Oryzias latipes: one gene and its partners. The protein of the gene in region 3 interacts with the protein of the main gene of each other region in a biochemical or structural test. Links are inferred from orthologs where the notes say so. Each region holds a gene or a part of one and is shown on either strand. Other genes may lie near its edges.

Region 1 (4,327 bases), on a different chromosome or scaffold from region 3:
AGAAGTCTGTTCGTTTCTGTAAACATCTGACATTTTGCACTGCCACAGAGCTGCGGTTGCCAAAACAAAGTTCCTTGTGAACTGCAGCGCACGTGCAGGAGGAGCGCATGCAGCACTCTGGAGATGGAGATAAAAATGGACGCAACACAGACAGCCCGTTTCACTTCAGGGAGATCTGTCCAGATTGAGCTTGCAAACACTGCCAGTATGTGAGCTGTTTGGGAAGCACAGAGGTGTCGTGCACGCCACCAGTCCCACAGTTTTTTATCCAGGTGCAGCAGACGAGAAGTCTCATTGATCTGTGATTTAGGTGGTGCAGCAGAGACCAACAGATGTTTTTTTTTAAATATCAAGCAGCAGAAAACTTTATGTTTCTGAAGGCTCAGTTTCGAACACACAACAAATATCGACTTTTTTTAAAAGTATTTTACTAATCTGACCTTTGAAGGCATTTAAGAACCTGCTATGGCTGTTCATTCGCAGTTTATACACAGATGATTGAATTGAATGATTTTTAAACACAGTACGTTTTTTTCACTTATTCATAACAATTTGATTATAATTGGAACATTTCTTTTCAATGTTGTATCAGTCTGTTTTGGTTTTATCTGAACTGCTAAATGTAGCGTTTTACAAATAATTTTTACAAAATAAGAGCACTACAAGAAGTGGTTAAATCTTTAAATTTGTCATAGCTAATAGTGTTAATTGTGCTTTTGGAATAGTATATAACAATATTAGCTTCAAAACTGATTAAAGCCTTGCCTGTATGGAGCTTTTGATTTAGTATTGACATAGGTATTGATTATTTGTAATCTCAAATTTTTTCAAATTTTATTTTATTTATTCTTTTTTGTTTCAATTTTGAATTAGTTTTAGGCCTAAAACGATAATTATAGAAAAGTTTAAGTTTAGTTCTTCATGCACTCGATCTAAAACACTCTCAACTGCCCAGTAGTGCGTTTGTGTGTGTTGCATTCGCGTGGTGACACTAAACTCGGATTTTGGACAATCGGTTGTCTCGACTAGAAATAAATAACACAATGAAATGTTACTGTAACCACAGATGTATTTTCATAAAACACGTCAGTTACTTTATCTTTTTATTTTTTTTATCCTCGAAATATTTTCAACAGCAATGGTCGGGTGTCGAAATGATGATGAACATAAAATTTAACAAAATAACATGGGTTTGACATCGTAATTTATCAACAACATGGAGCTCAAAATCTGTAAAAGTGATGGGAGTTCTCTAAATCAAAAATTATGTTAGGTCACGAACACAACTCAATTATGCCCAGTATTTTTACGAAATACAAAGAAAAGTTTGACTTATCCGATAGTTTTTAAATGCATTTGTAGGCAAATGATGGACATTGGAATCGACACTCCAACTCCCGGCGTGCTCTACGTCACCTCGTTGCTCGTGCCCCCTCTGCTAGTGTTTACGTTGAGATGCTCACAACAAAGGAGCGCCTCGCGCGCGGAGGGAGACTCCGTGACTTAAAACAACGTTTTATTTTATCTCCCCGCGAGCCTTTGGATCTTGTGTCTGCTTTTCTATACGCCAGGCCTTCACGTGGCCTCCTTATTTTTGAATTTTATTTTTTTTAGTCCCGGGATACGGTTTTGGGAATTAACGGGAATTCTTTTTGTGTGTGTCTGCGTGCGTGTGTGCGCCGGCGGGACGTTTAGCTAGCTGCCGCAGCAGTTGGAGTAGCTGCTGGATCATCAGGAGCCACGGGCGCGCGGGGACCGAAACGAGCATCTGTACCGCGGTGAGTTTACGTTCGCAGCCTCCCAGCCCCTCTGCTTCCATGATGGGGCGCTCTCATCGGCACGCCGTGCCCCTCCGTCAGTGAGGGTCAGCCGCTTTGTCCTGTCAGCGGATTTCAGGCGGCCTCGTTACCGGCCGAGCCGCGCGGAGCAGCAGATGTTTGTGTCAGATGTTGCCGCACGGCCGCGTGCACCTGCTTGTCGTCGCAGCCGGGAGATCCATCCGTGGGCATAAAAGCTGATGTCAGTCTGATGCTCTGCTGCTTTAAAAGCTGCAGGTATTCCTCCCCACCGCTACCACCTCCACCATCATCCATCCTGACCTGTCACGAGGGAATAAGACACGGACTCCTGTCATTACGACCTACACACCTTCACCTCTTTCACTTTCTCCTCTAAGTTCAAGAGCTGGTAGCAAATATGAAGACCCCTGAAGATTTTCCTGCAGGACTTCACGGTTAAGTGGCTGTGGATTAGGGTGTGACCTCAGAATTTGAACCAGCAGGCTTAAAGAACTTAAAGGGACAGACAGATCTGGCTGCCTCCATGCATTACTAACCAATCCAGGGGTCTGCAACCTTCAACCCTTAAAGAACCATTCAGGTTGATTTCTCAATGACAACCCAGCAAGAGTCTCAAAGTCTTTAGAAAAATGAGACACAGATTTTTATTCAAATTATTGTCACTAGAAAAATAGAAATAAAATACTTTGCTTTTTGCCATAAATACACATAAAGAGAAAAAAGTCAAAATAAGAGGTTCCTTTAAAAAAAACGTCCCAAGTCAGCAGTGAAAAAAAATTAACCCATTTTATTTTACTGTTTGTGGTGCATGTCAGACAGAAATGTTTAAATGTAAAAAAACTAAAATTAAATCAGAGCTAATTAAATGAGTCTCACCATATTTTTTGAACCATAAGGCAAACTAAAAAACCCTTAAATTTGTTCAAAAATACAAAATCTGTCTTATAATCCTGTACCTTGATTCTGGTTGTAATTACTGGCCTCCAATTAATTTTCTGTCGTACGCAGTGCAGAAAAATATGACAAAATGTTTTGGTTTAACTTGTGCAGTTTTGTCTTTCACCCATTTGTGAATGAATTGAATAAGTTATTTGTTAAAATGAAAACCTTTTTATTTTTCTTTAACCAAGGATGCACAATGGAGGGGTTATAGAGCCAGATGCAGCTCCAGATCCTCAGGTTGCAGACCCCTAAACTAGTCGTTGATAACTGGTAGATGATGTGTGCTGTTTAAAGCCTCTTTATCTCTGTATGTTCATCTTCATCAGCATGAAAGTACAACCTGCTGAGGTGCTCAGAATCCAGGTTGAGAGGCGACATTTGCGCCTGTATTTTTGTTGTCAGGGTTTGACTTTTGTAAGCAAATCAAAACGTGTCGCAGGAAAAAGCTAAAAAGGTTTCGGGGTCAGTGTTTGATCCACACTCGCGTGATGAGACGATGAAGCACTTATCAGCTGTGTGGGCAGAAGGTGGTGGGAGTATTGTGCAGACTCCTCAGAGTTCCCACGCCCAAAAGCTCCACTTGTGAAGTCGTCCCATGGCGGTGGTTGTGTAACTGGGAAGAGCAGGTGTTGCTCACGCCGTGTGCACACTTCAGGGTGTGTTTTCTCGACAAAAAAAAATTGGTTATGTTTCTGCAGGTTCGAGTAATGTTCTAAAAGTTCCTCATGTTTGAGAACCATTTCAAGGAGACTTCATAAATGTTCCTCCTTGTTCAATTTAAGGAAAATAATGTTACATTTTCCAGCTTTAGTTGCAGTACCTCACATCTCTGCCACCCAATAAGCTGCCTCCTAACATACATTTATGTAAACACATGTTAAGGTAGTCAAAAGCATCTCTTTGGGTTACCATGACAACGTGAGACATACTGAGTGGCAGGGAGGCTGTGAGGACTGAGCTAAGTGTGCGAAACCTCCTTTCATCACAGGAAATAATCAAACCAGGAGCATCCGTCTGCGTCCTTTCAGAGCCCTCAGATGAAAACATCACGGGAGAGGGCTTGGCGTGTTTGCAGTAAATCCATACACGTGGCCGCGCCGTAGGGTTGGCAGGGACAGCCCGGCGGGTGTCAGCGTCTGCAGGCTGAGCTGCAGCTTTGAGGAGCTTGGGCTCCCTGACCAGCTTTACTGTTTGCTGGGCCAGTAAACAGGCTGAAGTTTGTACAGGAGATTACTTGTGTCATGGAAAGTGGGTCAGATGGTGGGCACGTTTTTATGGCCTTGTTTCTGCAATATAGGGAATTTAAGGGGGGGGGGGGGGGGGTGCTCAAAACCACCACTAACTTTCCGTAACGTTGCTTCAGGCTTCAAAAGTTTTTTCAGTTTTAGTTTGGAGCCTAAAAAACCAGATTTTCCTGACGTCAGTTCAGATTCTTTCAAACTCTTTTGGTCAGTCTTATTCCTTTCCTCTTCCTACATCTCCACCACGCACAGAGTGGGTTTTATTCAACAGGTAATACCAAAAAAAAATGGAAGAAACAAACATTTTTCAGAGTTCAGCATCTTCAACAAGCTTCAGCTCGTCCC
Region 2 (4,409 bases), on a different chromosome or scaffold from region 3:
AAGAGGTATTAATAGTGTTGAGCCCCTTGGATCTACCAACCTTTTGACGTCTCTGTGGACATGATGGTTGGAGTGAAGATACTCCAGTCCTCTAGCTGCCCCTTCGGATATGAAGCACCTCAGCTGCCAGGACAGAGGGGGGCTTCCATCCTGCACGAGCAATCATACCACTGATTTTGATGATGGACAGCTCGGCCTTTACGTATCTAGATGTATGTTAAGTGTTGCATGCTGCTCACCAAACAAGCAAGTCGATCCAGCAAAGATCCGTTTGCCATTAAGGCATACACTATGCACAGATGCTGCTCATCAGAGGAAAATCCAACCATATCAACCAGGTTTTGGTGTTTTAGCCTGAGGAACCGGGTAATAAGACTTTTGTGTTTACTGGTATTAATCCTCTGGCTAAAAGTATATCAAACTTACACTTTCAAAGTTTGAATCTCTTGGTTAAATTGAAGTTGTAAACTTTCCAGCGGCATGTCCTCCATCTAAACGAGACAATATTTTAGAGCTTCGCAGACAGTATCTGCAACGTTTTAAAGAATGTGTTTAAACGATCCCACGTACTGGACTGAGTTTTTTTACTGCGACTAGTCTGCTGTCTAGCAAACCTTTGTAGACTGTCCCGAAGCCTCCCGCACCAATACGACTGCCGCCGTCTGAGATGGACCGGTCATCGAAGTTCCTGGTGATCCTCATAAGCTCTCCGTACAGGAATCTGGAGACACCTAAAGCACGAGTGGTTAAAAAAAAAAAATCAGTGCTGCCATCTGCTGGTCAGATATGCAAACTTGTATTTAGTCATAGGTCTTTTTTTTTTTAAATCAGCTCAATTCCCTTTATACATTCAGAGCTACATATTAGGGACTGCAAGCAATTCTATAATTATTGAAGGAATAAATCGGAATGCATTAAGGGTTTAAACAAAGATCTAGTTTAAGCCTCTACAGCAGTCAATTTCCAAGAGGTAAAATGTTCTGTTGGTTTTTCAAGGATTCTTGTTGGTGCAGAGCAGCCCCACTCCCCTTCCCATCACCCATAACTGAGAGCTGTTTACATAATCTCCCACTAGCTTACAGTCCCTTACACCCCCACTTAACATTAGTGGTGCAACAAAAACAGCGAGCAATAACAGAGCCATCCAGCAGTGCAGTTTAGAGCTAGATGCCAGCTCAGATGAGGAAAACGAAGACAGACATGGGTCTATTTGTCTACAAGTGGATAAACAGAAGAGCAGGGAGTGTGTGGCCTGTCATTGTAAGTTCTACATAACAATTTTTCCAACAGCATTGTTTTTGTCTGCTCCTGATTCACAGTGATTTGAATAAAGACATACCGGTACTCAGAAATGCAATTTTAAGCCCAATATGCGTTATACATGTCCTCCATCAGAAAAATGCCACAAGAATATGTTAAAAACATGGTTTTCCTTGGAGTGGGTCTTTAAGATTTGAACATAGAGTTATAGTTAGATACAGAATCTTTCAGGAAGCCAGTTTAAAATAAATATTTTGTATAGTTGAGCTAAACTGCCATCACCCACTCTTCTACTTACTGTTTCTTAGCCCTGTTATCACTTTAAAATATCTCAATATTTTGCACTGACCTATTTAAATTATTGTTATTATTGTTAATTTTACAAGCTGTGGGTTAAGAGGAAAGAAATTTCATCTGTGCTGTATATCTTGTGTATACAGTATATTTGACAATAAAGCTGACTTGACTAAAATGTGTTCCTAATAATCCATAAGTAATCACACATATCATATAAAACATATCTGACCGAAGATGATGAAATAAGGTTTAGAGAAAACTTTGCACCCACCTGTGTCGTCTCCTCCATCATCCAGCAGTGTTTGTGTCTGCAGGGAGGAGCCAGCAGGTGGATTTGGGGCCTCACCCAGCAGTAAGGTTGGAGGACATTTTTCTGCCTTCACTGAGGATACCTGCTGTGTTTCTTTGGATAGAACCTCTTTGTTGTTCATGTGCAGCACAAATACAAAAAGGAAAAGAACAAGTCATGCCATTTGTGGTCTATTTGTCATAATAAAAACAATAACTCATCCTTTAGCCTGGAGTAGAAAAGAACAAAAACTGTTATTGATCTCACCAGGTAATAGCAGATTGGCAGCAGCCAGGAGGTTTAGACTCCTCAGGATGTCCACCAGTTCCCCCACTGTGCTGTTGGTGGTCCCCCAGTCATTGAGCAGCTCCACGGTGACGCTTTTACCCTGAGCAACAAGACCTTCAAATCTCCTGAAGCAAACAGCGACAAATTAAAAGGATATTAATGTTATTCACAAACGTATAAGGATGGCGCATCACCAATTATTCAAATTGTATTTTTCACAAATGTCTATATTTTCTGAGTTTTAAAAAAAATGCAGCATACTTTATAATTTCACAGATAAAAAGGGAGCAAAAGGGATTGTTATTAGTATATTTAGATAACCATAATATTTGGCACAATGAAAATTTAATTAAGTGCACTCTGTCGCCTTCCTTGTATTCAAACCTCCCCCCCAAACAGTTTTTTTTCTCACCTTACATGATGCTGAGTGTACCTGGGCTCCCCATTCGGCTTCCGTAGGGCCACAATCAGGTCTCTCCAGGTCTCGTAAGGGTCCAGACAGTCGGACAGCTTGCGGCGCAAACTGTAGCTGATGTTGCGAACGTACGTGGCGGAAGTCACCGAGCTGTCCATCCTACGACACGTTCCAAACAAAAGTTCGACTTTTTTCGACAAATTACATGGTAAGCAAACAAGCAACGCTTGATTACGTTCAAAGAAACTCGGGACTAAACGTAAACAGAAATGGTTAGTTTGTTTTCGACTCGGTAAAATGGGGTTTCCGACGTTGAGCAACTTCCTTAAAACGTAATAAAGAGGGGCTGGTCTACTAATCCGCCACCGCCTCTTTTTTTGAATTTTTAAAAAACATTTTGTGTGGTTTTAATAAATACAAGTTCTGACTTTGCTAATGTCCCAGGTACCTTCTGTTCAGAGGTTTTCAAAAACCCCTGAAGCACCCAAAGAAGCCTTTAGTTGTTGTTAGTGTTACACTACTAACATGTTAGCAACATGTTAGTAGTGTAACACTGCCATCTAGTGGACATACCACTCATTTCATGAAAAAAAGTTCTTTTTAGGAATCTTTATTTAAAACAAAAATGACAATCAGTAAGGAACAGAGCAATCAACTGCATCGATTTCTTTTTAAAGATAAAGTTTAAAAAACACAAAAATAAAAGTAAAATTATGTTAATCTATAAATCTGAGAAAGAGGATTTTGATAATAGTTTTTTTGTTTTGGATAATGTAGAGGTTAAATGATATCTCATTTGGGCAAATGATTAAAAGAAATTTGGAGTTTTATTACTTACTTTGGTTTAGTAAATATAATGTTTTGTTAGAAAGATCATAAGATTAATCAAATACAATTGTGACAATGGCTTATTTGTTCATCATCAGTAAACCCAAACTGAATGCTTTTCCATTTCAAAAAGAAATGGGGTTACATTTGAGTTGACTTGACAATTTGCTCCAAACTGATTTATTATACTTACAGGTCAAACATATATGTATTTATGTTCCTTCAAATGTTTTACAAAACATAAATCTCTTTTTAACCTATATGCATGTATTGATTTGTTGGATAAAATCTATGTAATATTTTAAATGACACCTCTTGAACTCACAAGAAATGTTTCAGCAAACGCTTTGCTTTCTCCCAACAAATCTGTCCAAGAAGTTCAGTCCAGAGAGCTACTGCTGGAGATGAAGTTCAGAGCTCATGCTGGAACATTCTTCGGATTACTTTATTTTGAAAAAATTCCCCAAAGTAAATAGATAAAAACAACACAAATATATAGATCATTTTTCTTGAAAGATTTAATGTATTGGTTCCACTAACCTTCGTATGCATGAATCATGGAAGTAATTGATATCATGAACCATAACTTTTAAAAAAAAACGATAATAATCATGAAACAACACAGATGTCCCCTGCAGTGAATTACAGCTTCATTAGACTTAGTGTAAAACAATATTAACTTAATGTGAGAATTATTTCAGTTGTGATGTGTAATTATTTCATTCACCTTTTTCTGCTTATCTGGAGCCAGGTCATGGGGGTCCAGATCTTCTTCTTCATAGAAACTTCCTCTAGTTCTGTTGGGGGACCTCAAGGTGGTCCCAGACCAGTTTAGAGACATAGTTCCTCAACTCTTTCTTAGTCGGCTGAAATATCTTCCCAGGGAAGCATCCAAAAGGGATGTCCGCGTCTACTCTGCAGAACCCCTGCTGTTCCACAATCAGAACAAAAACCACACTCCTCCCCCTGAATCAGAGATTCGACTAACGACCAAATTCTCCCCTTTAGTACCCTGCAGTAGACTGTCATGGG
Region 3 (3,618 bases):
TTGGTAAAATCTCAAAGCGCTACAATGAAGGCATGAATAACAATGGTTTAAAAATAAGAACAAAGTAAGACAAAAACAACAACAGAAGTACTAAAAAGCTTTATTCAAAAAGGAAAGTTTTTAAGCCTTTTTTAAATGTGCCAAGGCTTTGTGGGGCACAAATTAATGTTGGGTTAAAACAACCTGCAACATCTGAACTATTCAAAAAGGAAGGAGAAAGACAAACAGACAAAGGTACCTTTAATGAGAACGAACAGAGAAGAATATTCAGTTACAATCTCTCTCCGCTCTGCTGCATACTCCTGTCGCCTCCCCTTTTATTAAGTTTGTGGGTTTCCCTTATTTACATATGCGCTGAGCTCTAAGGAGGGGGAACAAGAAGGCACAGCTGCAGCACGATTAGAAAACACCCTGTAGATCAACAGCAGTGGTGGTGGTTGTTGCTACCCCGACCAACAACTGGTCTGTTGTGAAAGATCCGTCTGTGATTCCCACGATTCATGAGGCTTTGATTTGTAGTTGGATGTCCGTCCTGACACGACCCTCTGCATTTCCTTTGACCTGGAGCCAGAATATGAACACACTGGATCGTGCCCGTACTCTAAAATTTGAATTGACAAATTAAAAAAAAACAATAAAGAGGCTGGCTGCTTTAGAGACTTTGATCAACACTTTCTTCCTTTTTGCTTTAAAATGTACATTTTTCAGAAGCTGAAGGACATCTTTTTCTTTGGTCATTGAGGTTAATCCACTTTTGTACTGTTAACATTACAACAAATGTGATAGGACTCCCTGTTTCTGGTTGCCATGCAGAGCTCCATGATTCAAGGTCACCCCCCCCCCCCGTGTTTGTTAATGGGAGTCAAGGACAAACCTTCCGGGGAAAAATGTTAAAAATCCCAATCCTATTCTGTTTTTGATCTTAACAACATATGATGGGGGGGTTCTTCTCTTTGCTGTTCCATCTTTAACCTTTGTTTTCCCTGAACATGATTCGTGCATTAGGGGCGTCCAGTTGTCAATATACACACGTGATCAGCGGCACGGCGGTCTGCCAGCAACGCATTTCAGCCATTTCATCACGTCGTGATGTTTCTAGAGTTCAAATATCCAAACTTTGGCAAAGAATTTTGAGTAAATCAATCAGGGACTCAGCCTTGGGACTCATGATGTGATCAGCGGGTCAATTTGATGCACGAATTGCGTCCGGCGTGAACGCAGGATCAGTTGAAACATCCAAATATGGAAAGTACCTTTGGAACGGTTCAGGCAGGGGTGTAGTTGTTTAGAATTCGTGCTCTGGAGGAAAGAATGCTGTTTGGACTTTGAGGGGCGCCTGTTTTTTCACCCTTTACATGTCCCGATCCAGTTCTACTTTCCGACACAGAACCAGACGCCTGAAGGAGCTGAGCCTGAGGGAGAAGCAGTCAGCACTTCCACAGTCTTGGTAAGTCCAGGAAAATGTCCATCCAGATCTCTTCCAGTCTGGATGGACAGAAGACAAACAGCCAAAATCTGAGCAGCTGAAGCTTCAGTCCAGTACCAACCTGTCCAGTTCTGCTTCATCTGCAACTCAATCGTTAAGTTTTGATGAGACACCAAGACCATTACAACCAAAGGCTTCTGAATGCTTCTCTCTGGAAACAAACCCCAGCTGTTCTGCATTGGTCCAAAAATGGTACAAGGCGGGTTCCATGTCCTGGTTCAGTTCTTCGTCATGTGACCACAGGCCGACTTCAGTTCTGCTCCAAGATGCAGCAGAACTGATGGAGAAAAAAATCTGGAGGTTCTGAAGCCTGAGTCAGAAGATTCTGTCACGGGTTCCTGAAGGTCCCATTGGTCTAGAGCGCCTCACAGTCCAGTCACAGCTCGGCACCGCCTGTGGACCTTAAGCCCACAGCCACAGCAGGAAGCGGTCAGCTGTGCTGAAGGTAGTCCAGCTCATCACTCTCCTCTGGTTCTCCAGGGTCTGCAGAACCACATGCTTCATCTGAGTCAACACAGAGCAGAGACAGAGTCCGTTAGAGAAAAACCCAAAACAACTCCAATGCAAAAGTCTGAAAGAACCTGCAGGACGGAGGAAACAGCGGGTGGTACCACCAGAACTGAGCTGGCAGAACCCACACATGCAGGATGGGAAGTTTCCATGGCAACAAACTTGAGCTGGATGGTACTTACAGAGGTTTTGAGACGACAGCAGCTCAGGCGTCCGGATCTGGCCCTCCATGTACTGTTGGGTTTTCTCCAGGAGGCGGCGCTTGCTGGAGTTCATGAGGACTGAAGCAGAGGAGCATTCAGACTTTGCCTCCCACATCTGAGCACCTGCTGCTGACCCATTTGAGGGTCCGAGGGGAGGAGCATGCAGGGAGCCCACAGGAGAAAACCCCTCAAGGCCCGCTGGCACCACTCCACTGTCGGGTCCTGAGGAGGACCTCGTGGGGGTGCTGGGCCCTGGACAGTCACCTGTGCTGCTGATCTGGAAGGGGGGCTTGTGTTTGATGGGGGGAGGGGGTTGGCTGGAGGGGGGGGCTGGGTTTGTGCTGGATGGCGACTGGGACCTGCAGTCACATCTGGATTGGGGACGGAGGTCGTACTGGGAAAAACCCCGACTTTCATCAGTCTCACATGGGCCAGCAATGGAGGAGAGGGGGGGCAGGGAGGAGGAGTGCAGCGGGTGAGGAGAAAAGGATGAAGAGGAGGATGAGGAGGAGGATGAGGAGGGGGGGTAACTGTGCTCCAGTGGACCTAGTTGGGACAGCTGATAGGTAAGAACATCCACATGATCTGGAGAGCAGGGGGGGCGGAGATGAGGATCAGGCTGGGAGGAGGAGGAGGAGGGGGCAGCCTTCCTCACCATGTTGTGGACCCTCTTTAGACAGTCAAACCCCTGCGAGGAGAAGAGCTCAGGTGAGGAGCAGAGAAAGGCAGCAGAGATGGAGCCATCTAGAGCAGCCTGACCTCAGTCATGGGGGGCCTCCTCTTCCTCTGCTGGTTCAGACACCTGCATGCTAGAGCCACCACCTCCTGGAAGCCCACAGGCTCAGCCGCCCCCCCTGCAGACACACCCACCGCGTCACAAAGGAACACAAACCCGTTCAGCCTCCTCTAGTCCTGTGCTGACCTGTCACCAGACGTCTGTCCAGCTGCCGCCGCCACGCCGCTGGGCCTTCCTCCACCTCCACCACCAGGTCTTTCTGCACTCAGAACCAGAGACAGACTCAGGCCCCTTTATATATACCGGCATTAAAAGAAAGCACCGGTTCACAACCGGGACAGTCGACAGGGCCACCCAAAAATGGAGTGAACAAGAGCTTAAAGACCCACTCCCATGAAAATGAGGTTTCTGGTGTTTTGAACATGTTCATGTGGCATTTTTCTCATGATCGAGGAGATTTATCAAGAAAACTAGAATGTTAGCTACGTTAGCTGGATTAGCGTATTCACAAAGCCTGTAACTCCCAACCTTGTTTGAAACTCATTAAAACAGACCAATCCCACTGAAACAAACGTTACTGTGACGATGCCAAATCCTAACCTTGTTAGTGACACAAACAACACGTTAGCCGCTACACGTTAGCCTGCGTTAGCATATTCAATTCAATTTTATTTATATAGTCC

The links.
Region 1: of the proteins of interleukin-1 receptor-associated kinase 1 (region 3) and E3 ubiquitin-protein ligase pellino homolog 1, one has a biochemical effect on the other in vitro, tested with the Homo sapiens proteins (5 studies listed by BioGRID and IntAct, with this or other methods). The link is inferred for Oryzias latipes from reciprocal best matches to the Homo sapiens genes IRAK1 and PELI1.
Region 2: of the proteins of interleukin-1 receptor-associated kinase 1 (region 3) and irak4, one has a biochemical effect on the other in vitro, tested with the Homo sapiens proteins (2 studies listed by BioGRID). The link is inferred for Oryzias latipes from reciprocal best matches to the Homo sapiens genes IRAK1 and IRAK4.

The regions. Positions count from the first base shown.
Region 1 is NC_019873.2:11,839,230-11,843,556, forward strand, and holds the start of E3 ubiquitin-protein ligase pellino homolog 1, read left to right. Parts: upstream 1-1,417; 5' UTR 1,418-1,778; intron 1,779-4,327. UniProt on the Homo sapiens protein: E3 ubiquitin ligase catalyzing the covalent attachment of ubiquitin moieties onto substrate proteins. Involved in the TLR and IL-1 signaling pathways via interaction with the complex containing IRAK kinases and TRAF6.
Region 2 is NC_019864.2:12,581,578-12,585,986, forward strand, and holds the start of irak4 (interleukin-1 receptor-associated kinase 4), read right to left. Parts: upstream 2,892-4,409; 5' UTR 2,708-2,891; coding exon 2,547-2,707; intron 2,260-2,546; coding exon 2,114-2,259; intron 1,976-2,113; coding exon 1,829-1,975; intron 732-1,828; coding exon 571-731; intron 492-570; coding exon 427-491; intron 355-426; coding exon 240-354; intron 151-239; coding exon 41-150; intron 1-40.
Region 3 is NC_019865.2:30,220,128-30,223,745, reverse strand, and holds the end of interleukin-1 receptor-associated kinase 1, read right to left. Parts: intron 3,195-3,618; coding exon 3,122-3,194; intron 3,054-3,121; coding exon 2,959-3,053; intron 2,888-2,958; coding exon 2,179-2,887; intron 1,991-2,178; coding exon 1,917-1,990; 3' UTR 85-1,916; downstream 1-84.